2 linked regions of the Struthio camelus genome follow. The protein of the gene in region 1 binds, or shares a complex with, the protein of each later gene. Links are inferred from orthologs where the notes say so. Each region holds a gene or a part of one and is shown on either strand. Other genes may lie near its edges. The genes, in order: OBSL1 and MYOM1.

Region 1 (11,233 bases):
AGGCTCGGGGGGGCTTCGCTGCCACGTCCCCCCCAGCAGCAGCGAGCTGCCGCGTGGTGCTGCAGGTGCCACCGCAAACCGTGCCCCAGGTGCCCTGACGCCTTCGGGCTGCTTTGCACTAAGCAGCAGGAGGGGGACCTGCTCGCGCGTTCCCAGTCTCTTTTGGGGACAAAGTGCTGGGGCAGGGACGGATGGGAAGAAACATGGGATGAGCTGGTCGGAGATGCAAACCTGCCTTTGGGCTGGCGGTACGTATCTGGCAGCTCCTCTGCAGAAGGCTGCGCCTGTCCCGATCCCCTGCGCCCCGGCCCGCGCCGTGCGGGGAAGGGTCCTGGCGCGGGTTTGCCAGGGTGAACGCCCCGCCGGCGGGAGCGCTGAAACGCTGGGTGGCATGGGGGCTCGTGGGGCAGGGCGCTCCGGGTCCCCCTCTCGTCCCCGTCCCCGAGCAGGGGACGGCACCGCGGCGTGGGGCAGGGCTCCCTCGTGCCAGTGACTCCTCCGTCGCCCTGGACGGGATCCTGGGCTGCCCAGGGCTTTGGGGCAGGGCGAGGGAAGGCCGGGGCCGCGGTCCGGGGCAGGGCTGCGGCTGGGACGTGCCGGGGCGGGAGGGAGCCCCTCGCGCGGGGCCGAGCGGGGCGAGCCGGGCGCTACACGCAGGTGCAGTCCTGGGCCAGGATGTTGGGCACGGTCTCGTACTTGAAGGAGTAGCCGCCGTCGGAGGTGGTGCGGACACGCAGCGAGCGCATGGTGCCCGGCAGGGCGGCGCAGCAGAGCTGGACCCCCAGCCGGTGGCTCAAGCCGTGGCCTTCGGAGCAGCTGCCGTGGCAATAGTGGAAAACGAAGCTGCTGGGGTGCACGATCCAGTTGTCCCAGCCCAGCTCCTCGAAGGAGATGTTGAGGGAGGCCCGGCGGCAATTGGTGTGGGCGGCCACGTCCTCCGACGGGCGCTGCAGCAGGCCGAGGGCGGCCGGGGACCAGGGCACGGTGGAGCGGCGAGCCCGCTCGCTGCCCTTGGCCCGGGTGGTGGCCACCAGGAAGGGCATCTTCTCCCCGTCGGCCAGGCAGGGGCAGCCGGGGCAGCGCACCAGCAGCACGAAGAGCGGCTGCGAGATGTGGGGCAGCAAGGCGGGGGCGAAATGAAACACCGTCCAGTGGTCGGGCGCCTGCACCGCCGTGGCCACCACGGGCACGCGGCCCTGCGGCGACAGGGTCAGCACGTCCGGGGCCGAGTGGTTACGGGCGGCCGCGGGGCCGGTGTAAAACCAGAGCTGGGCCGATGTCACGGCGCGGCTGAGGGTGTGGGGTGACGGCTGGAAGAGGTAGGTGAAAATCCCTTCTTCCTCCAGCAGCTTGTCCGGCTGCGTGGGCTCGCAGGGCACGTCTGCAAGGGGAAAAAAGCACCGGGGTGCTGCAGCAGGTGCCCGCGCCGGGGCACGCCGCCAAACGCCCTGCGCCCTGACCGCGTGCACAAGCCGCCGGGACGGGGGAAGGAGGCACCCCAGGGTGTCCCAAAGCAGGGCGAGAGGCTGGGGTGGTGCAGAGGGGGTCCCCGAGGGTGCCCGCCGCGCAGGCCTGGCGGCGGCCGGGCGCGGGGCAGCTGACATCTAGCGCTGCGCAGCAGCTACTGCACGGCACGGCGCCGGCCGAGCAGGTGCCTGCGCCGCGGCTCCGGGAAGGGCTGCTGCCCGGCGCTTCCCCGGCCTCGCGGACAGCCGGCAGGCTCAGGCCCACGGGGCGAAGCGCCCGCCGCCGGGGGGCTTGGAGCCTGTGTTGCGTGGGCAGGGTCGGGGCTGGGGCAGCACGTCCTGCCCCTCGCGGGCGTTCGGGCTGGGGAGCCCCGTGTCCCCGGCGGCTGCGGCAGAGCGTGGGCTCTGGCCGCCTTTCGGGGCAGCTCAGTCTGACCCTGCGGGCTGCGGAGGGGGACTGAAGGCTGGCAGAGGCTTGCTGGAGGCTCCCATGGGGTGTGGGGCGGAGAGGGGGTCCCAGTGTGCCCAGCGTGGGTTGCTGTCCCAGTGGGGAGGCCGTTCTGCCCCCCGCTCCCGGCCAAGCGGCAAGATCTGCCCGGGGGACAGCCAGGGCTGTGCAGCAAGCAGCTCCCTGGGGCCGGGGCAGGCTGAGCCCTGGCGGGAGGCCAGCTGTGCCCCTCTGCACCCTAGGCTGATCCGTTAGTGCTGCTCAGTCCCCTAGCATCCTGCCCCCATCCCTTTCCATCCTGCCCCTGTCCCTTAGTGTCCTGCCCTGTCCCCTAGCATCCTGCCCTGTCCTCTCCTCATCCCTCTCCGTCTCTCTGCATCCCAGCTGGCTCAGGCAGTCCCCAGCCTGTCTAGCTGTCAGCACCCTGGCCTGCCTCTTGTGCCCCTCACCTGCCCTCTGCCCCTCTCCCTGCCGGGTCCTGGGCTGACCTGCCTACCCCTGCCTGCCTTCCCCTTCCGCCTCATGGCTCTCCGTCACATTTCAGCCACCCCTACGTCCCAGCCTGGCTTACCTGCTTCCTCTGTCCCACACCAGCATCATAGTCCTGCTGCATGCTTGATGCCCTGACCCACCAGCCCAGCTTAGCTCTTCTGCCCTCTCCATCCTCACAGGGGCTTTCTCACCTGTGGATGGGAAGAGGATCACCTGGGAGGTGTCCTCCAGCTCCTCGTGTGGGACTTCTGGGGTCTCCAGGACGTCTCTCCGATGCATCTTCCTCCCCTCCTGCCGGGGCCCCTCCTGGGGTGCAGGGGGGCTCAGATGCTCCAGCACCCGTGCCCGGACCTTGGCCAGGATGAGCTGCCGGTCGGCGCCAGCGCCGGTGCAGGCGGCCAGGGCGGCGGGGGGCAGCATGGCTGGCAGCAGGTGCAAGAGGAGCAGCATGGCCGCGGGGCGTGCGGTGGGCCGGCTGCTCGGGGGGCTCTGCCGTGGGTGCCTGCCTGCAAGCCCAGCCCGTCTGCCCACTGCGCGCCGCCTGGGGCACGGTGGCATTGAGACGTATCTGACACTGACGCAAACGTCTGCTCGCCGTGAATATTATCTCTGGGCAGCGAAAGCGCTGAGACGTCTGGAATGCAAGGACTGCAAGGACAGTGTGGTCTGGGGGGGGGGGAAGGCGCCCAGGGAGGGGGGCGCGGGGGTGATGCTGCCGGGGCAGTGGGTGCACGGGGCTGGGGGAGGCCAGGCTGCAGGCAGCGTGCTGCCGTGAAGGCTTTGCTGTGCCAGTGTGGATGGAGGGGCACCCTGGGGCGAGCGTGGCAGCTGCCGGTGTGGGGTGTCCCCATGCTGGAGCAGGGTGAGGGAGCTGCGGGCTCAGGGCTTCTGGGGGCACAGGGGGAGGTGATGGTGGCTGTGCTGGGTGATGAAACCTGGGCAGACACCTAATGTGGTCCAGAACCTTGTGAGGCCCAGATGTGGGGAGGGACTTTAGGGGTGGCAGGCTGGGCATGCTTGTGCTGGAGATGTCTTGGTCACCTCGAGGTCGTTGGGGAGCAGGGACATGAGGAGGGAGCCCGAGGAAGGACAGATTGGGGAAGGGGGAACTGCGGCATCTCCAGGGCAGCCTGTGGTGGGCAGGAGGCGGCTGACAAGGTCCCGTGATACGAAGCAGGAGGGATGGGAAAAGGACCCCGTGCAGCCTGGGACAGGCAGTGGCCAGGGAAAGGCTGGGCCAGCCTGCGATGGAGTTGGAGGAGGAAGAAGTGAGGCAGAGCTGAGCCAGCTGGAGACCCTACAGTAGCACCAGGTGAAAGAGGCCACAGTGCCCTTTGGGTTGCCTGGCTGCAGACTTGCTCCTGGGAGCTGGAGCTGCCTGATGGCAGCTGGCTGTGAGGGGACCCCCTCCCCCCCCCAGTGCATCCTGCCCTTCTTCCTGCGGCTGCCTGCAGGGACAGTGACAGGAGTCTGGTGTCCAGGAGTCTTGTCTCCAGGAATCCTGCGTGTCTGCATGGTGGGATGCAGCTTTTGTGCCAGCCCACTCCTGCAGCAGCCCAGTGTCCCATGCAGTGCATCCTGTGTGGCACATCCCATCCCGCTGCAGCCTGGCATCCCATGCAGTGTGTCTCATATGGTGTGTCCCATCTCGCTGCAGCCTGGCATCCCATGCAGTGCATCCCCTGTGGCATATCCCCTCCCATGTGGTGTGTCCCATGCAGCATGTCCCGGGTGGCATGTCCCATCTTTGTTCAGCCTGGGTCCCACACAATGTGTTTTCTCCTGCGGCAGGCTGACCCCACACCGTGGCACCATTGAGCCTGCCGAACGCTGGAGCCCTGGAGGTCAAGGACTGTCTCCCCACTCCAGGCAGGGCCGCTCTCCTGCTGGGGCGCTATACATAGGCCAGCCCTTCCCAGCCAAGGCACTGAATGGAGCAGGCTCAGTCTTATCAGCCCAATGTGTCATCAGAGGGTATTTTTGGGGACAGCAGCTGCAGGCATTTGTAACGTTTGGTCCCTGCATGCTGACGTCCAGGAGCAGAGCTGGGGGAGGCAGCAGGAGCTGGGTGCCGGTGCTGGGAGACACAGGGAAGAGGCGAAGGAGTGAGGTACGTGTGTGGGGCAGGGGACTGTGGTGTGGGGGCTGCGTGGGGCAGGGGGATCGGGGGGACACGGGGGCAGCTGGAGGGGAGTAGCAGAGTGGCCAAGCCGTCGGGGCTGTGCCTGTCTGTGGGAGCTGCTGTTGGGGCAGCCCGTGGGACTAGAGGAGCATCTGGCCGGGAATGCCTCACTGAATGAATGCATTGCCTGCAGGTAGAGGTTTGGGAGGAGAATCTGGCCCTGGTCCCTCCTTCTTGGGGACCCCGGCCCCGTCCCACCCTCCCCTGCCCTTTCGCTCAGGCAGTATCTTGGCTTCTCTCTCCCCATGTCCTGCCCTGCCTGAGCAGTGCAGAGACACCTCTGCCCCCAGCCCCGGTGACGGTGTGGGCAGAGGCCAGGCAGAGAGACCACGCTGCCGCTCTCCAGCCTGTGATGATGGATATTGTCACCTGCGGGGCTGGGGGTCGAGTCGGTGTCTTGGCTGCCTGGCAGCAGGATCGGTCCCTACAGCGTTCCCTCTGCACCCCTGGGGCTTGAGCGCCTGGTTATTTCATTTAGAGTTACGGCTTTTGATACCTAATGGCTGGGGTGGGGGATCCTGCCTTTGCAGCCACGCTCTGGAGCAGGGACCTCCTCTCCGTGGGGAGCCCCTCTTTGCCCCAGGCAGGGAGCTCTGCTGGGAGCCCTGCTTCCCTGTCCTGCTGAGCCGGGGAGAAAGCACCCGGATCCGGCCGGATTCCCCCCCGCCCCCCGCCATGACAGCCCCTTATCAGCACCTGCGCCTGAGCCAGCCCAGATGCTGCAGGAATGTGGCTCTGCCACCACCCGATACCGCAGGAATGCCCCCGCGGGTGGGGACGGCCGGGGCTGGGGCCCTTCCTGCCTCGGCCCCAGCCCCTGCCCCATCTCCCGTCCCCGGCACCCCGCGTGGAGCTGCCTTCGCTCCCGTGCCCCATCCAGCCAGGGGCCCTGTGCTCCTGGAGCTGGGGGTCCTGTCTGTACGCATATACAGCCGGGGCTGTAGGCACCTTGGGGCACGAAGCACTGTCTTCTGCCACCTTTCCCACGGCTGTTGGGCAGAAAAATGGCTGGTTTGGGCTGAGGCTGGAGCATATTCAGGGAAGCGCCAAGTCAGGCAAACAGCATGTTCGTGGGGCGCTGGCATCCTGGCTCAGGCCCCCGCCGCCCCCGGGAGGGCTTGGGGCAGCCCGTGTCCCTGCAGCCCAGTGGGGCAGGGGGCTCGGAGCGAGGGGAGGAGATGCAGTGCTCCTGCTGTGCTCGCGGGGCGCAGGGGGTGCCTCCCGGAGGTGCCCCGCACCAGGGCCGTAGCTGGAGCCTCACCCCAGCCCCGGTCTGTCCGTGCATCGCTCCAGGTTGATGATCCCCGTTGCTGTCCCGCTGAGCTGCCCGCTGTGAGGCCGGGGAGGCCGGGATGGACGGGTTTGCAGGAGCACCCAGGTTCCTGGCCTACCCGCGCACTTTCACGGTGCAAAACGGCGCTGACGCCGTCCTGAAGTGCCAGATCGCGGGCGACCCCCGCCCCAGCATCCTCTGGGAGAAGGACAGGACCCCGATCGAACCGTCAGGCCGCTTCCATGTGGAGGCCAAGGGCAATGTCTACAGCCTGCTGGTCTCCCGAGTGACCCCGGAGGACAGCGGGCTCTACGTCTGCAAGGCCAAGAACAACGTTGGCGAGACCTATGCTGCTGCCACACTCAAAGTGGAGGCCGGGGAGCCCCAGGAGGAGGGAGACCATGAAAACAAGCCACCCGTCTTCCTGGTCCGGCCTTCGTCGATGCGGGTGTGCCGGGGGGAGGACGTGATGTTCACCTGCAGGGTGTCAGGGCAGCCCTGCCCGGTGCTGCACTGGGAGAAGGATGGGCACGAGCTCTCCGACCTCTTTGAGAGCAGTCATTTCTCGGTGGGGAAGGAGCCTGAAGACTGGCACTTCCTGAAGCTGTTCAGCGCTCGGCCCCCGGACGGGGGGGTCTACGTGTGCCGGGCGCGGAGCGGCTCCCGGGAAGCCCTGGCTGCGGCCGTGCTCCTGGTCGAGCCCCTGGCGCCGGGGCTGCCAGACGAGCGATCCCGCGGGTCCCCCGGGAACGGCCTGGAGCAGCCGGGAGAGCGGCAGCAGCACCGCCGCCGGCACGCCGCCGTCCAGAGCACCGTGCCCGAGGGCTGGGCGCTGCCCAACGGTGAGGTGCCTGCCGGCGTGCCGGGCGCCAAGGCGTTCGCCGTGAGCGCGGGGAAGCACGCCAAGTTTCGCTGCTACGTGACCGGCAAGCCCAAGCCGGAGATCGTCTGGAAGAAGGACGGGAAGCCCGTCACCCCGGGGCGCAGGCACCTCGTCTACGAGGACAGGGAGGGCTACTTCATCCTCAAGGTGCTGTACTGCAAGCCCCAGGACCAGGGGCTGTACATCTGCACCGCCTCCAACACGGCCGGCCAGACCCTCAGCGCTGTGCAGCTCCAGGTGAAGGGTAGGTACCGGCCCACGGGCCGCCGGGGCTGCGGGGGGCTGCGGGTGTGCTTTTGGGGCTGTTTGCCTAGCAGGGGCGCATCTGCGCGTGCACGTGCATGTCAGGGCACGCGGGCTGAGCAAGCGCTGCTGGGCTCCCCTCCCAGGGGCTCGGGCAGGCCTGGGGGCGCGCGGGGGCCGGGGCGCCTCTGGGGTCTGTCGAGACGGGGCCAGCGGCAGGCGTGGGCTGCTGGGCTGCCCCAGGGGCTGGTAGCTCCCGTGTTTGTCCCCCCGCCATGCCCCTCTCCTTGTAAGCAGAGGGGTGATGTTTCTAGGGGGCTGCGCGTGTCAGGCCGCGAGCAGGGAGGGGGCGCGACATGCTGGTGACAAATTCCCCTGCAAGCGCAGAGCAGCTTTGGCTGGGAGCCTTGCAGGGCACGGCACCAAGCGTCTGCGCTGGCGACAGCCCCGTCCCTCTGGCAAAGCCTGCACGGAGCCCCGCTGCCAGCTGGGGATGCCAGGACGGCCCCTCGCCGAGGGCGATGCAGCACCTGGCGCTGCCCCGCTGCCAGCCCGCCGGCGGCCGTGCACCCACCCCACGCGCAGCGCCGCCTGCCCGGACGCCTGCTGCGGCGTGCTGCCCTGCACGCTTCTGCATCCCCGGGAGCTCGCCGCTGAGGTGCTGGCGGCATCGCCTGGCTTTGCTGACCTGCGCCGTGTTTCCCCTCGCTCTGGGAAATCGCTCCCCGGGGCAGCGGCCGTCACAGGCAGCGGGGGCTTTTGCAGCGCCATTTGGCATTGCAGCACCATGAAGGGCCCCTCCTGGGAGGGGGTCTGGCTCCAACCCTGCTGCACGCCTCCCGCCCAGCTGCCGCGGCCCAAAATAGCGGCCAGGGGCAGCGCGCTGCCCTCTCCCACCCCGTGGGGCTGTGCGGACCAGCGCCGGGGGTGTTCGCCGGGGACACGTGTGGGGAGCAGGGCAGGGTGCTGCCCACACCTGCCCGGCTTGTGCCGAGGGCAGGGAAAATCCAGCCTGAGCCCTCGCCCGACCGGAGGACACGGACGGAGGCCGGGGGAGGATGCCCCAGCGTCCTGGAGGGACGGGCTGGCGGTGGCGGTGTCTGCTGTGGTGTCCAGGAACAGCCGGGGAAGCCGGGGACGATGCTGTCCCCGGGGCTGAGCTGAGCTGGCAGCCGGGCAGGCGCAGGCGTCCCAGCTGGGACGTTTGTCAAGGCGGAGAGCGGGGGCTTGGCCACTGCTGGCAAGCAGCGCTGTGGACTGGCCCCCAGTGACCAGGAGAGGCTGCGGGGCAGGGGGGCCCAGGGTTTGGTGTTATTTTCAAGCTGGCAGAGCCTTGCGCAAAGGGCCAAAGGACGGCGAGAGCTGGCATAGGGCACGGGGAGGGGGCCGAGTGGTGGCGGTGGGGGTGCTGGCCCCGTGCGCTCCTCAGCACCCGTCTCTCTCTTGGCTCCAGAGCACCGCGTGCGCTTCCAGGTGCAGCTGGCGGACGTGGAGGTGCAGGAGCGGGAGGACGCCGTGCTGGAGTGCCATGTGCCGCTGGAGACCATTCCCACCGCCTGGTACCTGGAGGACAAGGAGCTCCAGCCCAGCCCCAAGTACGTCATGGAGGAGCACGGCGTGCTGCGGCGCTTGACCATCCGCGACGCCCGCACCGACGACGACGGCATCTACCTCTGCCAGATGAAGGACAAGGGGCGCAGCGTTGCTGAGGTCTCCGTCCGAGGTGGGGGGCAGGCCCAGCTCCCCTAGCTCTACCTTCCCCCCTCCAGGCCAGGCAGCTCCCTGCTGCCCCCTGCATCTGCCCTCCCACTGTTTTGCCCGCACACCTCCACGTGCCTGCTGTTACCCCTCCTAGACTTCTTCTACCCCTCTCCTGCCCCTTGCTCCCTCCCCACCCCTCACCTGGCCCTTTTCTCAGGGGTGATCGTGAAGAGGTTGCCGCGGAAGCTGGACGTCATGGAGGGGGAGAACGCGGCTTTCTGTGTGGAGACGCGGGAGGCGGTGGAGGGGATCTGCTGGAGCCGGAACGGGCAGGAGCTGCAGGAGTCGTCCCACACCGTGCTGAAGAGCTTCGGCAGGACTCACCTCCTGGTGCTGGTGCACGTCACCCGGGAGGAGGCGGGCGTCATCTCCTTTGCGGTTGGGGAGTCTCAGACATCCTCCCAGCTCCGGGTCAAGTGTAAGCTCCTAAGGGACCCCATGTCCTCCCTCCTCCCCATTCACGGGTTGCTGACATGGAGGAGAGCCAGTATGGGCACCCACTGCACTGGGGATGTGACAGCTGTAATTGCTCTTTGGGGAATGAGGCTTTTAGCAGGGCCCTGGCCCCAGGGCCCCAGTCTTGCTGGTGCTCCACAACTTCCCATAGCAGGCAGCTTGGCACTATGCTGCACGAGTGCAAGGCCCCTGTTGAGCTGATGCTCTCCAAGCATGAGCAGCCTCTGCCATCAGAGAGAGGATCCTCGGTGGAAGAGGTTGCGCAGCCCCGTACTCACCCCTTTCCCTGCCTCGCTCCCCTGCTCGGAGCCTGGCTTGCAGTCTCCGAGGAGGAAATGCTGTCTGTGGGTTGCAGGTGTGAAGCGCGACCCTCCGAGCACCCCGGTGGCGGCCAGGATGAGCACGGAGCACAGTAACGCGGCACTGCTGACGTGGTGCCCTGCGCCCGACGTGCACCATCGCCCCCCCAGCAGCTACGTGCTGGAGCGGCAGGAGGTCAGCACCAGTGAGTGGGTGCATTGCCTCACCACCGACCTGGCCAGCCTGGTGGAGGTGCTGGGCGACAGCGTGCCCTGCGAGGCAGACTACCGTTTCCGTGTCTGTGCTGTCAACAAGTACGGCAGGAGCAGGCCCGTGGAGTTCCCCGGCTCCGTGCATCTTGGTGAGGGCTACAACTCCATCTGGGCCATGGGTCTTCCTTCGTCCCCCTCTGGGCCTCCCAGGCCGGGCTGAGACCTGGCTTTCCTTAGGAATCTGTTGGGATGGGCTGGACCAGCCCTTGACCTGCCTTCAGGACCAGCCTGTTGGCGCCAACTTTCCCAGCTGGTGGTCCTTGACCTTGTGAGCCAGCCTGCACAGAGCACTGCACTTAAATAACACACCCCAGACTGCTTCCAAGCTCTTCTTCCCGGGAGAGAATGGGATGGCCACTATGGCCTGGTCCTGGAGCTGCAGGGCAATTTTCCGCTGACACAGTCCAAGGGGATGGGTCCCAGATGCTCCTGGAGGCTGGATAGGGGCAGCAGGCAGCCAGGGTCAGCATGCTTCTGGGGTCTGCTGGCCCCTGGCACGTGCCATTGCTGTCTGGGGCTGAGTCCTGCCCTGCTCCAGTCCCGGCAGCTCGCCTGGAGAGAGGCCTGCAGGACGCGCGGGTGCGGGACGGTGAGGATGCGCACTTCTCCCTGGAGCTCTCTGCCTCGGTGCGGGGTGCCTGGTTCCTGAACGGCGTGAGGCTGGGCGATGAGGAGGCGGTAGGCGGCCGGTACTGCGTGCAGCACTGCAAAATGGAGCACTCCCTGCTGATCCGGGGAGTGCGGCTGGAGGAGAGCGGGGCCCAGGTCACCTTTGTGTCCAGCGGCATTCGGGACTCAGCCACGCTCCAGGTGCAAGGTGAGCAGGGCTGGGGTCTGGCAGGGAAGAGAGCAGCACGGGATGGAGGATGGCACATCGGTTGCAGTCACCCCTCCTGAGCTGTGGGTTGCCTGGGCTTTTTCCCATGTCCAGCACCCCCTCCTTAGAGTCACCTCAGGAGCAGGAGGTGGGCGAGTGGCCTCTGACGTGCTGTTGCCTCCCAGCCCCAGGTCAGGGAGTGCTGGCTTCCTGCAAGAAAGACTGGCTTTGCTCCTTTGAGCTGGACCTGCGGAGCACAAAGCACCTCTAAGCACTGTGGGCCGTAGAGGAGTTGTGCAGAACTTGGGCACCTGATTCCCTCCAGGGCTTGGAGTAAGGCTGTTCCTTATCTGCCCAGCCTGGCTGGGAGCCCTCTGCCCTCACGCCAAGGCACGGCTCCATTGCATTGTGCTGTCCTGGTACCACAGCAGTGGCCCAGGAGCTCTTGTGCCTGTCGGCTCTGAGTCTCGACCAGGGATGTAACATGCACCCCTGGCCCGGGGTAGGGATGGGTTAACTACAGGTGATGCTGGGCAGAGCAGATACGGGGTGGTGAGCAGCACCGGGACAGCCTCTGGGCACCAGCACCCTGGGAGTGTCCAGCAGCACCCACTGCCAACGGGTTAGGGTGGCGATATTT
Region 2 (12,209 bases), on another chromosome or scaffold:
AGGAGCCTTTCTTACTACTCCACAGTGGTTAATTATTTACACAAGTGCAATAAGTTCAACAGCAAAGACTGAATACTATGTAGCTGAAGATAGACAAGCAGTCAAGTCATTCATTTGGGCTCAGAGAGTCTGAGGTTCAAATTCTTGGACAGACATTCACAGATAGAGACTTGATCCTGAACTTCATGGAAGCCAAGTGAAGGCTGTAAATATGAAGTATTGTTTACTATCGCACAGGTAGTCTTTCTCTCAGTGGTTTTGGCCAAAAATTCCATCTTTAACCTTCAAGGATCTTTAATTCCCAAAATCTAACTTTTCCAGTGGAAAAGTCTTGATTGGTTCTGCTGATAATATTCTATATTTTATATATTAATATAACAGGGAGCAGATGTTTTTGGCTATAATTTGTTGATTGTTTCCTCTACTGCTAACAGCTGCTCTAATCTTACTTTAAAGCTAGGCTAATTTCTGTAAATGTTTGGGATACACACAAGTAATGTGAGGCTACGATATCTAATATAGCAGTGTATATGAATGGAATTGTTCAAGAAATATTTTATCATCTTGTTTAAATGAAAATACGATAGCTAAGCGTAGCTGTTCTTCTAGCGCAAGAACACTTCACAGTATTCTTGCTTTGAAAATAGCGTGCCTTAGCCAATTTACAGTGCAAAAAATTCAATTTGTTGAATCAGTTAGCATAAAAATGAAACTGTTATGCAAAAGAAGAATTGTTTCATGATATATGGACCTGTCAGCTCAAACTTGTGTCAACAGCCCCAATTTCTTTTACTGCTCCAACCCGACCAGACAAGAGACAGCCCCAAACCAAAAGCCATCTCAGCACTGCTTATTAGCTTGAGCTGCGTTAATATGGCTAAACAACTTTATACGATATTTGGCTCATGCCTAGCCACTTTGGAGCATAAATATGCTTCAACAAGCTGAGCTAACCAGAGCTCTTCCTAGTCCCAGAACCAAGTTTGAAAAACATTTTAACACCAAGTTACAGCACTTATTTCTGCTAAAGAGAAGGAGAGTTTTGCCATTGATTTGAATGGGAGGCGACTGGGCAAACTGTTCCAGAATATTGTTTCAAATATTTACTTACCCAAGACTGTAGGCTTCAGATCCCAGCCTGTAGGATGCAGCCAGCTTATTGATTGATTCAGATCCATGACTATAGGCAGCTGAGCTCTTGCTGAGGGATTCAGAGTCAAGACTGTAGGCAGCAGACCGTTTACTGTGTGCAGCAGAGTGACGGTCATAGGCTGTAGATCCATAGCTGTAGGCTGCTGACTCAAGGGCATGGGCTGAAGAGCCATGACTATATGCTGCTGAAGACTCAAGGCTGTAGTCTGCTGCAGACGCATGGCGATAGGCTGCAGAGCCCCTACTATAAGCTGTAGCTCCTTGAGCATAGACAGCAGATTTGCTCTTTGCTTCCTTTTGGTACTGGCTTACAGTGGACTGCAGTGCTTTGTGGCGGTATGCACGGTCATAATGCTCATGGTGTCTTTGGTAGAAAGGTAAAGACATCATGAGTGCCTTCTAATTTAGCTTTACTGCACTTTTCTGAATATAAAAATAGCAGGACAGTGTCTGAAAGAGAACAGATCAAACAGATGAAGACTGAACTCAAAGAGACTTTTGAGTTAGCATACATATAATACAAAACTTAACATAAGCTAACACAAAACTTAAAACTTTAAAGGTCAAACGCAACAAATACAGGGTTATAATACTTCCTAGACTTTAAGATGGCTTCCTATTTAGGTTTCAAGAAGCTCATGCGTCATTCATCAGGAGTAGAAATCCTCATACTATTGTGTCTGCTCATTTGTAGTTTACTGTGGTCTCCTAGTTATTGCAAACTATGGAAGCTTCTTCAAAGAAAACGTAAATATTTTTGTTAAATGAAAAACAGGAGAATAAAGTAATAAATAATACAATAAAATATGATAGATTTTAACAAGGTAAATTCACTACTTTATAAGCTGAGATCAAAATATATGAACATCTCATTCATTTTAGCAATTCAATTTTCAGATACCTTTTAATATCCAGCCTAATATTTTAAGAGTGAATTAAAAGCAGTAAGACTGACAAGGATGTCACCTTGTTTGGTAAACGTATATTACATTTTTTTTATTTGATACTAGAAATTCATTTAAAAGAGCTTTTCATACTTTTGCAGCTCAGTAAGGGATACAGTCTGTATGCACCGATTAGAATTCTACCATCAGGTTCATCAGTCAGACCCCTTTTTTAACCTAGAACCGCATGTTCAAGATCTTGAAGAAATTCCCTCCAGATAGTATCGCCATTTGGGATCACAGTCATCAGTAGATTATCTTGCAGTGTCTCATAGTAGGAAATTTGATCAGATGAGAGGTGGTTCCCCTTTCAGAATGGGAAGAGGGTTAAAGGCAGAAAGGATTCCCCTTTAGTTTCTTAAATGACAATCCAACCTTTATTTTGTTATTATTTTGTTTTGCTGTTGTTAAAACTGGTATCGTCTTCTCTGGCAAGGAAACTTGTCTATGCTAATTCCTCATAATAACATTTCTTTCTCCTGCCATTGGTGATTAGGCTTATAAGATGGAAAGGACTTTCAGTGAAGAAGCTAGATGGCTACAAATAAAAGTGAGCTGCAGTGAGGGAACTTTTAGAAAAGTATAACGAACGTCCAAAAACAACGGTGAGAGGTGCTTGTTGCTGTTTTTTTCCCCATCAGTTACAATAATATGGAACTTGTTCTACATCTATTTTTATTCATGTTAATGAAACTGCTTATCTGATATTTCGATAGAAAAAACGTTTACAGAGCTAGCGTATAATCTTGATTCCATGGAAATCAAGAATTTTGTCCCTGGTCTTTTGTCGCAGCCAAGATTTTGCTTCTCAGGTTTGTTTTTAGTAGTTGGTTGTGGTAATAAGTCGAACAATTTCAGTTAATTCTCTTTAATGACTAATCAAACTTAGACAAATTACGAAAAGAAAAAAACAGGATTTCAACTGTCCTAAATTTCAGGACCCACTCAAGGTCTAGGAACTGTTTTTCAACTGATAATAGAACTGAACTCTCAGTTTGCAGAAAGTTAACAATAAACGGAGAAAGTCATTCAGAAGTCCTTAAGTATATAAAAGAAATCTCTGATATCCTGACCATAGTGGAACTACGAATTCAAGGGGACTAGCTAATCCATTTACTCTATTTTTACCTGAGGAAGAAGGAGGAATAGGAAAAACTGTTAGCTCATTGTTCCCTGCAGTGAAAACTAATGCTTCACTTTAATTTCCTTATTTCTCCTGATGGCCCTTTTGCACACAAGTCTAGCAAACCCAATGAATCTGTACAGAATCCTTTTTTCTAATACCTATCAATATTTTGTGTTGCTTTTTGATTCACTTTGTTGGCTTCCAGTGGTATATAGTTCCTCTTAATTTGCCTCCTTTTATAACATTTCTTCTCTATTTTTCTTCGTTGCTTTCTCTCCCGGCTCCAAAGAGTTAGATTTAGGGATTGCAAGCCAGTGTGACGTCTGCTGAGCAAAGTTAAATCCTACAGATGACTCTTGTTCTACTCACGGAAAGAAGAAGAACATGAGCACATTCTGTTTTCCATTTGTAAAGCACTACAATTTTTTTCCTTCTTCACCTGCTGTATTTGCAGCACTGGTTAGCTTCGTCATGGATATTAACAGCCACACTACTAACAGCCATGCAGTCCCTGTGGCTCAGGGATTTCCACAGCTTAAGGATTCAAGGTAAGGAACTGATCCAGAAGTATAAAGCACTGCATATATTGCATATTAAAGATAAGTTAAATGAGACATTGATATTTATATATTATAACAGCAAAGAAGAATCAGTGGATTTAAAGTCAACATATTTAAAATGTATAAAGGTAACCTTTTTCTTCCAAATACAAAAGCTCTGGACTAAAGCTATGCCTCAGAAAAACTGAGTTGGATTCATAAAAGGATTATGCATTTATGTAAGTAAGAGCTAAGACACTAAGATATGAGCTGAACAGGAAGCCAGCTCCCCCGGTTCAAATCAAAGGCCAATGGTTACTCATGAGATACAAGAGGAAACTCTTTTCATAGGTATTTTATTACACTGTGACTGTTTTATATTTCCTCTGAAACATCTAGCATTGTTCACTGGTAAGGATCAGCTACGATAGTCTGATCCAATGTAGTAGGTAAACGTTTTTGGAAATAACAAGAAACTCTGAACCTCCTAAGGATTTTGCTCCTATTCAGAGCACTGTCTGCTTGTGGAATTGGCTCCCATCCCTTATGTTTTACAAAATTCATACTACCTGTGTCTACCTACTGTGTGGCCCACTAATCAGGCTCCTTCATATGAGGGTAGCACCCCATCTGAGATCTGTATAGGATTTCACATTTGCAGAGCCGGGCCTAAAAATATTAGCTAGATGCAAGTTCATGTTTTGGAGCCGTTATTACCAGCTGTTGGACTGAATTTTCAAAATGACAGCTAAGTAGACAGCCTACAAGTACAGAGTTCTGTACTTGTTTGTAGGCTGCAAATAAACACTATAGGAAATTATTTTATTGGCATTATCTGTTGCACTACTTAGCAGTCTGTATAATTCTTTAAAAATGAACTCAATCTGTTAGTGAAAACAGTGAAATAGGAAAAACAGAAAAGCTTATAAGCAGGAGAAAAAAAAAAGTAAGATTTCCTTCAGCTCAGTCAATAGTACTTCATCTCCTTTACAAATCATAAAACATCCCATGCAACTAGAAAATATTTAGACTATTTACACATTCCCTAAGGCCAAAGAACTCACACAACAAATTCCTCCTGTATCTCAGTAACTCAGGCTTCATTTGAGAGTACCGTAACAATCTGTAAGGACAGCTGAGTTGATAGTAAGTAAACCAATGCACTACTTTGCTTTGTCTGAACCTGCAGATTTCTTCAACTCAGTTCCACAACTCCCTCAAACAACTGCTGAGCTGAGAAGATTAAAGGGAGCTACTATCAGCTTGGCATTACAGATTGAAAATAAAAATAGCTGAACATGTACATTCTTCTGTCGTAAAGGAACACTTACCGGGACCCAAATGAACAATAACAAGTGGAATAGTTCTGAGGTGGATGAATAACAGAAAAACACAGCAAGGGTGAATCCAGCAAAGAGGTAGTCAGGACCAGGGCTAAGGACTGGACTTTACAGTCCAGAACAAAAATAATGCCTGCGGTCAGTGGAATGCCAGAGCCCCAGTCCAGACCTTTTATGGCCAGGAGGCTGATAAATATAGCATCGAAGAGGGAGAGGAGAGACAGAGACAGATAAAGATACTCTGCGCTGTCTCTGTGCAAGCACATGATGACGACAGCTTCCAACTGAGTTCTCTCCTTTTAAGTATCTTCACTACATTCAGTGCAAAATCTGTATTCCGATTCACAATTATTTATAGGATTTTTTTTTCTAAGTTACATCAGGTTTAGAAGAGAAAAAAGAAAATGTAATGTGTCATGAACCAGAAGTAGGAAAGATCCATCTCAGTATTGACCTTTGCCATGGTGCATGCACCATGTACTTATTTCAGCTAAATGACAGACAACATAGAGTAGTTTCAGCAAAACTCTATAAAGCCATAGAGGTGTTACTATACGGCTGTGTACTTTATTCTGTTGACAGTGCTATGTTTTCATCGTCTTATTTAAGATAAAATTCTAAATTAAGCAGATGACCTCATGAGGCATTTAAGTAGATATAAACAATGCAGCCTTAAGAGCCAAATTTTTTTTCTAAACTCTAAACAGTATTATCTCTGCCACACCAGGGATAATTAAGTGGGCTTTTCTTCTTTCATTTCAGTTACAGCAGTTTGGCATAGAAACGTACAATCACTGTTGCTGAATATTACAGCAGAATAATTTCTGTCACCTGGAAATAGCCTTTAATACGTGGAATGCACTGTGACTTTATTGTAAATATATATTTTCCTCCGCATACTTAATATTCAATACAAATGATTAGTCCGCATTATTTTGCACATTCGCACTGAGAGAGGTGTTAACCCTAACTCTCAGTTCTTAGTTGTTTTCCACCCACCATGCAACACAGCTGAAAACTTTCTAGATCATCATCCTTTTCTGAGGCATTCCCCCTTCTGGGTGGAAGTGGCAGTAGCAGGTCTGGACTAGACCTGTGACTAGGAGCCTCTTCTGTATAAAGTCTCTCCGGTATCCTCTTCACCTCAGCTTCCTTGATTCCACCTAAAATCTCTTTGGTTCCCACACTTCCAGAACCTGCCACTAGCTGCTTGTTCCCTGGGCAGCTACTACCTCCTGCCTCAAGCTGCACCGTGCAGTAAGGTCACCTGGCTCCCCACCTGCCACGCTGGGAACTGCTAGCCTCGATTCACCATACGGGCTTTTGGTGTTTGCCCCCTAGCACAGGAGCTACGGTCAGTAAAAAGTTGGACAGCCCTACAGATTGGCCACACCTGCAATTGGAGGAATGAAAAGCTGGAACCCTAATAGGACCTTTTCTTTCCCCGGGCCAGCCTGTGATTCCAGCCCTCCCTTTGCTTGCTGCACTCCTAGGTGAAAACAAATGTTGAACAAGAAAGGCATTCCTCAGATTGTATTTTAGCCTGCAGAAGTAGGGGGAAATAAATTAGGGGTGAAATGAACCAACATCCGTGTGAGTTTTCCACTCTCAGCGCTGAGTCGACACTTCAGTTGCTGTCCCATCTCTGGTCTCAGATTCCCCACTGCCACTGCTCATATTGGAGACCAGCCTGCTCTCCTTCTCACTATCTGCCATGACAGACGGGGATGGAAAATCGTTACATCATAAATTTAGCAAAACCCACCTGAAAAAGAAAGATTTTTCTCATCGCCGCTGCTTCACACCTTTGATCGCTAGGAAATATCCTATTTCACACCTAAATGTGTTCCTGACTGATTAGACCTGTCTAACTCTGTGTTAACATCGCCCATCAGTCTGACTATTTATTTTCCCTTCCTGATGCTTATTACCCTGAATGTATTTTGAGAGCAAAAATGTCCCCCTCATCTTTTTGTTCTGCTTAGCTAAATAAATAGCTCCTTTACTCCTTTTCATAAGTTAGGCTTCTCGTTTCATTGCTCATTTACTAATCCTTCTTTGTGCCTGTTCCTGTTTGAATTCATCTTTTTCCTACCCCATGGGTGATCTGCGCCTTACAGGACTCCAGAGGAAGTTTCATTAGAGCGTTACCCTCCTACTGTGACACATCTCTGGCTTCACTGGAAAAATGTCAAACGATAGCTTTCATAATTGCATTGGCTTTTTTCACATATACATCTGGTGACTCATCCTGACTGATTAAAGTCTTCAGGTATTTTTTCTCTTCTGTCATTTCCAGCTGAGGAAATCTAATGGCATCTTACGTTTTATGAGCTGACACTTTGTACTACTGAATTTTATCTCTTTATTATTCTTAGCCTTACCATCCATCTCTTCCTGTATCATATTCTAATCCTTCTTTGCATGGTGGATGCATCTCAATATTATGCAATCAGCAAATTACATCAGCACTTTCTTATTTTTCTACTAATGTTGCCCGCAAAAATATTGAATAACTTGGCCTGAAGACTATTTATTCCTTTCCTAGTAGAATTGCTCCACCTGATTCTTTCCCTCTCAACAAAACCTGTTATTGGTCTTCTGGCCATTTTCTTGTCTGCCCTGCACTTCTGGTGTAAATCCCCCATTTTAATTAAAAGCTTTGCAGGTGGCGCAGCATCAAATCTAGATGGATTAAATCAGTTTGTATTTCTGTTTAGAAATTATTTATCATAGTAACAAAAAAGATAGGTTCCTTGATCTGTTCTTGATTCTGCTTGTACTGATCTTGATAGGCTATGTGATTTATTATCACTGAGCACATTCCATCCAAATTTCCATTTTTCTCCAAAATTTGGTAATTCTTTCCTCAAAATTTGTTTTAAAGCAAAATTTTATCAGAAGTCTTACAAGTTATTGATTGTTGGTGTATAGATTGGTTTTTCATTAACAAACTATTTGCCCTCTCATTATTAGTAACATTTGCTCCACAAACTCGTCATGACAGCTGGAAGTGTCCCATAATAAGTCATCTGCTGGCAGCATTCATTTTTCCTCACAACATGGTAAGATTTCTGTTTGTATTCAAACCTGACACAGAATCTATGGCAGGCTCCTAGAACTATCTCAACAGAAAATTTTTATCATCTCTCAGAGTGTCTTTGGCATATCCATACTTTATCCATCCATATGCTCTGTTTTCATTTTATATAATACATCAAAACAAATGGATGTTAAGTGATGTCCCACCCCATATCCATCTGTTTTTCCTAAACAACATATATCCTTCGGTACCTTTATTCCAGTAACGGTTGACAGTTTCTGTTATCCTTACTCTATTTGGCTTTATATCTTGCACTAGAAGTGTTCTCATTTCTCTGTATTTCTCAGCAGCTGCTAGGGACCTAGCAGGCCAAGATCAGTTTACCCACATAGCATGTCTTTATCCAGGGAAAATGTTCTGCTGTGTAGTCAACATGAGAATGGAGGGATTCTTGCCCAAAATATGATGTTTGTCTTTGACCTACCATGAGTCTGTAAGCCAGCTGTGGCTTTGGAACTGGTGACTCATTGTAGCATGACCCCGTAACGAAGGGAGGCATAGCAATGAGGCTCACAGAACCAACGGACAGGTATATTTATATTGTTTTTTTTTTATTTTTCAGCCAAAAGCCTGAGGCTATTCTGCCTAAAAATTTGGCATGACCATAGCTAGCCTTTTGTCTCTTTCAGAATTCTTGTGTCCTATGCACCTACTGTTACGGTAAGTTTGCCAGAAATACTCAAGATGCGCTACTGCTCAGGGAGACATAACTAAAAGTCTCCAATTACCATTTTCAAGAAAAAAATAACAGATTCTTTGACCTGAGACATGCAGTCTCGGGACTTGATTCCCTATTGCCTTGCTTGTGATATTTATACCTGTGGGAAATCAGGACAAGATTGGCTTAAAAACTGCTTCCATATATTTCAATTTACGTCTACATTCCACAGACACAAATAACAATATGAAATGAAAAGCTGTCAGCAAACAGACCCATTTTATCTTCGTTTGGGTTCAGTTAGGCACAGCCAAAATCCCAAATGCTGAAGATACATCATTGCAAAAGTCTGGCTCCAGGTATCTCCTCAGGTTGTCATTACTATTGGATATATACATTTCAGCTATCTCAGCTAGTCTCAAATGTAGAACTGTCACCCAGGAATATCATCTTACTAATAGTTTAGGTAGTAAGTACGTCTTTGCTCCCTAACCAAGAAGCCAACAACTTTTAAAAGTGTTTTACTTTGGTTGTCTTACAGCTTTCTACCCCAGTAGAGCAGCAGCAACAGACTATTTCTAGATCAGCTGTTTCTGAGGAACTATTAACAGTCTTGGAAAGACTGGTCAAAACATCTTGACAGATGACTGCTGAAGGACCAAAGAGATGTTTCAAACTACGACAACTCACATGTAGAGGACTTGACTGCTGTAAATATTTACTCCTGCTCCTGGTAGTAGCTCCTGCTATTTAGTTACACAGTTTTTAGAATGAACTAAAACACTTTTAAACATGAGGTAAGTAGTCTGGCCAAATTATTTAGATACTTGTCCCTTCATTTATCGTTCAATAACTTATTTATCATTATCTTAGATGGTGACTTTGTATTGATTGTCTCTCCCATTCTTCTTACCAAAAGTCTTCTAAACTGCATGACTTCATTACGAAGCAAATGAACTATAGATATCGCTTTACTTACAGATTTAAGCCACTATTACACTAATACAAAGCAATAGCCTCCAATATTACAAGGATCAGTACTACAGTAATTCAGGCATAGCTAATACAAATCACTACGTAGGCTATAATAACAACTCTCATTTTCCTCCTATGGGTCTTCATATCACTTGCTGAAATACTTCTGAAACAACAAACAATTTCTACTATAGGAAAGGATCATGGGAGTCCCTCGATAGAAAAAAAAGAATTGTTTTAGCTATCACACTTGCAAATGGTTTCAAATATAGTAATTAAGCCGAACAAAGTTTCAAGGAAAATTTGCATCAAAATTTACAAATGTTTTATTCAATACATCCTGTAGGACTGAGACATGAGTTTTAAAACATCAAAAGCAATTAGGCATGAAAAACTGTTTCAGAAGATGAGGACTTAATGGAAAGAGATCTAGTGAAGGAAAGATGAAGAGAGGAAAATAAACTGGAGTTTAGTATATGAAGACCAGAAAATGATACATTGAAGAAAAGGAGGAACTAAGATGGAAAAGATCTGAAGGATAAAGGCACAAGTCAGAAATAATGTTAGTGATTATTTATCATGTGTGATTTAGTTTTAAACTAATTAGTTCGCAGCAGCAAAGGATTTTGAGACAACTGGAAAACTCGCCAGGACCCTTTGTAAATAGTTAGGCAATTAATCAAACTATTTTAAAAGTTTTTTTCTTTTTCCGGGTGCTTAAAATATATTTCCCATAGCTTGTAGCTTCAGGGTGCAGTACAGTCATATTCCACAAGGGTAGCAGTGTACTTAACTTCGAAATGAATGGACTCTGATTTTTGTGTGATGGACTAGCATTCTCATTTCTCAATCTACACTACAAGATAAATTTCCTACATTTGGGGCAAACTCAAGTTTGGAGACCGCAGTAAAAGGGATCTGCATCAGCCAAGAGAAGATACTTAAGAAAGAAAGGAGAAGAACATAAGAAATTGCTAGGCAAGGTTAGTCCCGTATCCTGATTGACAGTAGCCAGTACTAGATGGTCAGTAAAAGGTACGAGAAACCACACAGTGGACAGTTTTGCCAAAACCTTTCTAAGATGTTTCCCCTTAACGTTTGTTGTTGTTGTAATGGTTTAACCAAGCCCACTATTTTAAAAAATATAAGTTTTAGAATAACTCTCTGTGATTTATAGTAAAACCTCTCCATTTGGTTTCATGCTAGTTCTAGAGACGTGAGTATGAACTTTACTGACTCCTTGAAAGTCAATTTGAATTTGGTGACTTTCTAAGCTGTGCAAAATTACTAGTCCCCATGTGTGTTTTTCTCTCTACAGCTTATTATTGGCTTCCTACCAGCGGTCAGTGTCCTATTAGCATGCCCGTGCCTCTTCCACTGAACTACCCTTCAGGAGGACACATAAGTATAGTGATAGCAGTCTTCCTCCAAAAAAGGGGGCTTGAAAAGGAGCAGAGAACCGCTGCCAGATTTCTGAGCACTGGGATTCAGAATCCAGCAGTTTTATAACTTCACACACACACACACACAAGACTATACCTCAGCAGTGACAAAATGTAAATCTTAATCTAGCAAACTCAACTCTTCCAAGTCATTTAGCCACACCACATTGCAGAAGGACTCCTCCAAAATACTGTGCTTGTGTATGCCAGCAGTGAAAAACAGCTACTTCCAGACGTATCTGCACCCCTTTCAGTATTTTCACCGTCTAAGCTGCAGCAAGGCAGGATGAGAGACATACACCATACGGGCAATAGATGTGCCCAAACCCCTCTGGCTGCTGTGGTGCCTGAGGAAAAGGGACTACAGGTTCATTGCCAAAGAAAGAAAAACTTTGTGACCAGAAGTGGGAGACTTAAGAGAGGGTACCCAAAGGTACCTAGGGGAAAGGGGGGCACAAAGCAGGAGATGGCCTCTAGCTATCAAAATATCCTTCTCTGTCTCCACAAGGAGCTGACTTGGAAAGCATAACAGCTTTTTCCTGATGACAGCTACCCCAGAATACAGATTTGTCCATGCTAGCTTTAAGCTAGCTAAGTGCAGCATCAGTGATGGTGTAGCTCTGGCAACATAAAGCCCACCATAAGGCTTTTTCCCTGGTACTTACTGAGCTAATCAATTTAAGGTGAGTTTTGCAGTCAGCCTTGATCTCTGCACTGCTGCGGGTGTACTGCTAGCAGAAATTGCTAGCAAAGTCTTGAACCACAAGATTTAGCACGCATAATTTGGCCTTAGAAATAAAGCACAGAAGCAGATTTTTTTTTTAACGTTTTCCATTTATAATGTTACCAAACTGCATGCTTTTAAATAGGTAAATGTTATCCCAGTAGCTCGATTTCTGAGACCTTAATCAAGGTCCTAAATAGCTGAGA

Evidence for each region.
Region 2: the proteins of OBSL1 (region 1) and MYOM1 are in contact, whole or in part, in a crystal structure (PDB 5FM5), measured with the Homo sapiens proteins. The link is inferred for Struthio camelus from reciprocal best matches to the Homo sapiens genes OBSL1 and MYOM1. Residues at the interface, in NP_056126.1 of Homo sapiens: Pro243, Lys253, Phe255, Val257, Asn258, Gly260, Lys261, His262, Ala263, Lys264, Phe265, Arg266, Cys267, Tyr268, Val269, Met270, Gly271, Lys272, Pro273, Pro275, Trp279, Lys305, Tyr308, Tyr317, Cys319, Ala321, Arg322, Asn323, Ser324, Ala325; in NP_003794.3 of Homo sapiens: Arg616, Pro617, Ser618, Ala619, Pro620, Trp621, Thr622, Gly623, Gln624, Ile625, Ile626, Val627, Thr628, Glu629, Glu630, Glu631, Pro632.

The regions. Positions count from the first base shown.
Region 1 is NC_090947.1:27,735,661-27,746,893, forward strand, and holds the start of OBSL1 (obscurin-like protein 1), read left to right. Parts: upstream 1-5,940; coding exon 5,941-6,988; intron 6,989-8,440; coding exon 8,441-8,710; intron 8,711-8,905; coding exon 8,906-9,166; intron 9,167-9,559; coding exon 9,560-9,865; intron 9,866-10,314; coding exon 10,315-10,593; intron 10,594-11,233. Other genes in the region: INHA (inhibin alpha chain), read right to left, coding at 648-1,381, 2,598-2,964. UniProt on the Homo sapiens protein: Core component of the 3M complex, a complex required to regulate microtubule dynamics and genome integrity. It is unclear how the 3M complex regulates microtubules, it could act by controlling the level of a microtubule stabilizer.
Region 2 is NC_090943.1:118,820,647-118,832,855, reverse strand, and holds the start of MYOM1 (myomesin-1), read right to left. Parts: upstream 5,267-12,209; 5' UTR 5,093-5,266; intron 3,771-5,092; exon of another isoform or gene 3,586-3,770; intron 1,603-3,585; 5' UTR 1,543-1,602; coding exon 1,112-1,542; intron 1-1,111. UniProt on the Homo sapiens protein: Major component of the vertebrate myofibrillar M band. Binds myosin, titin, and light meromyosin. This binding is dose dependent.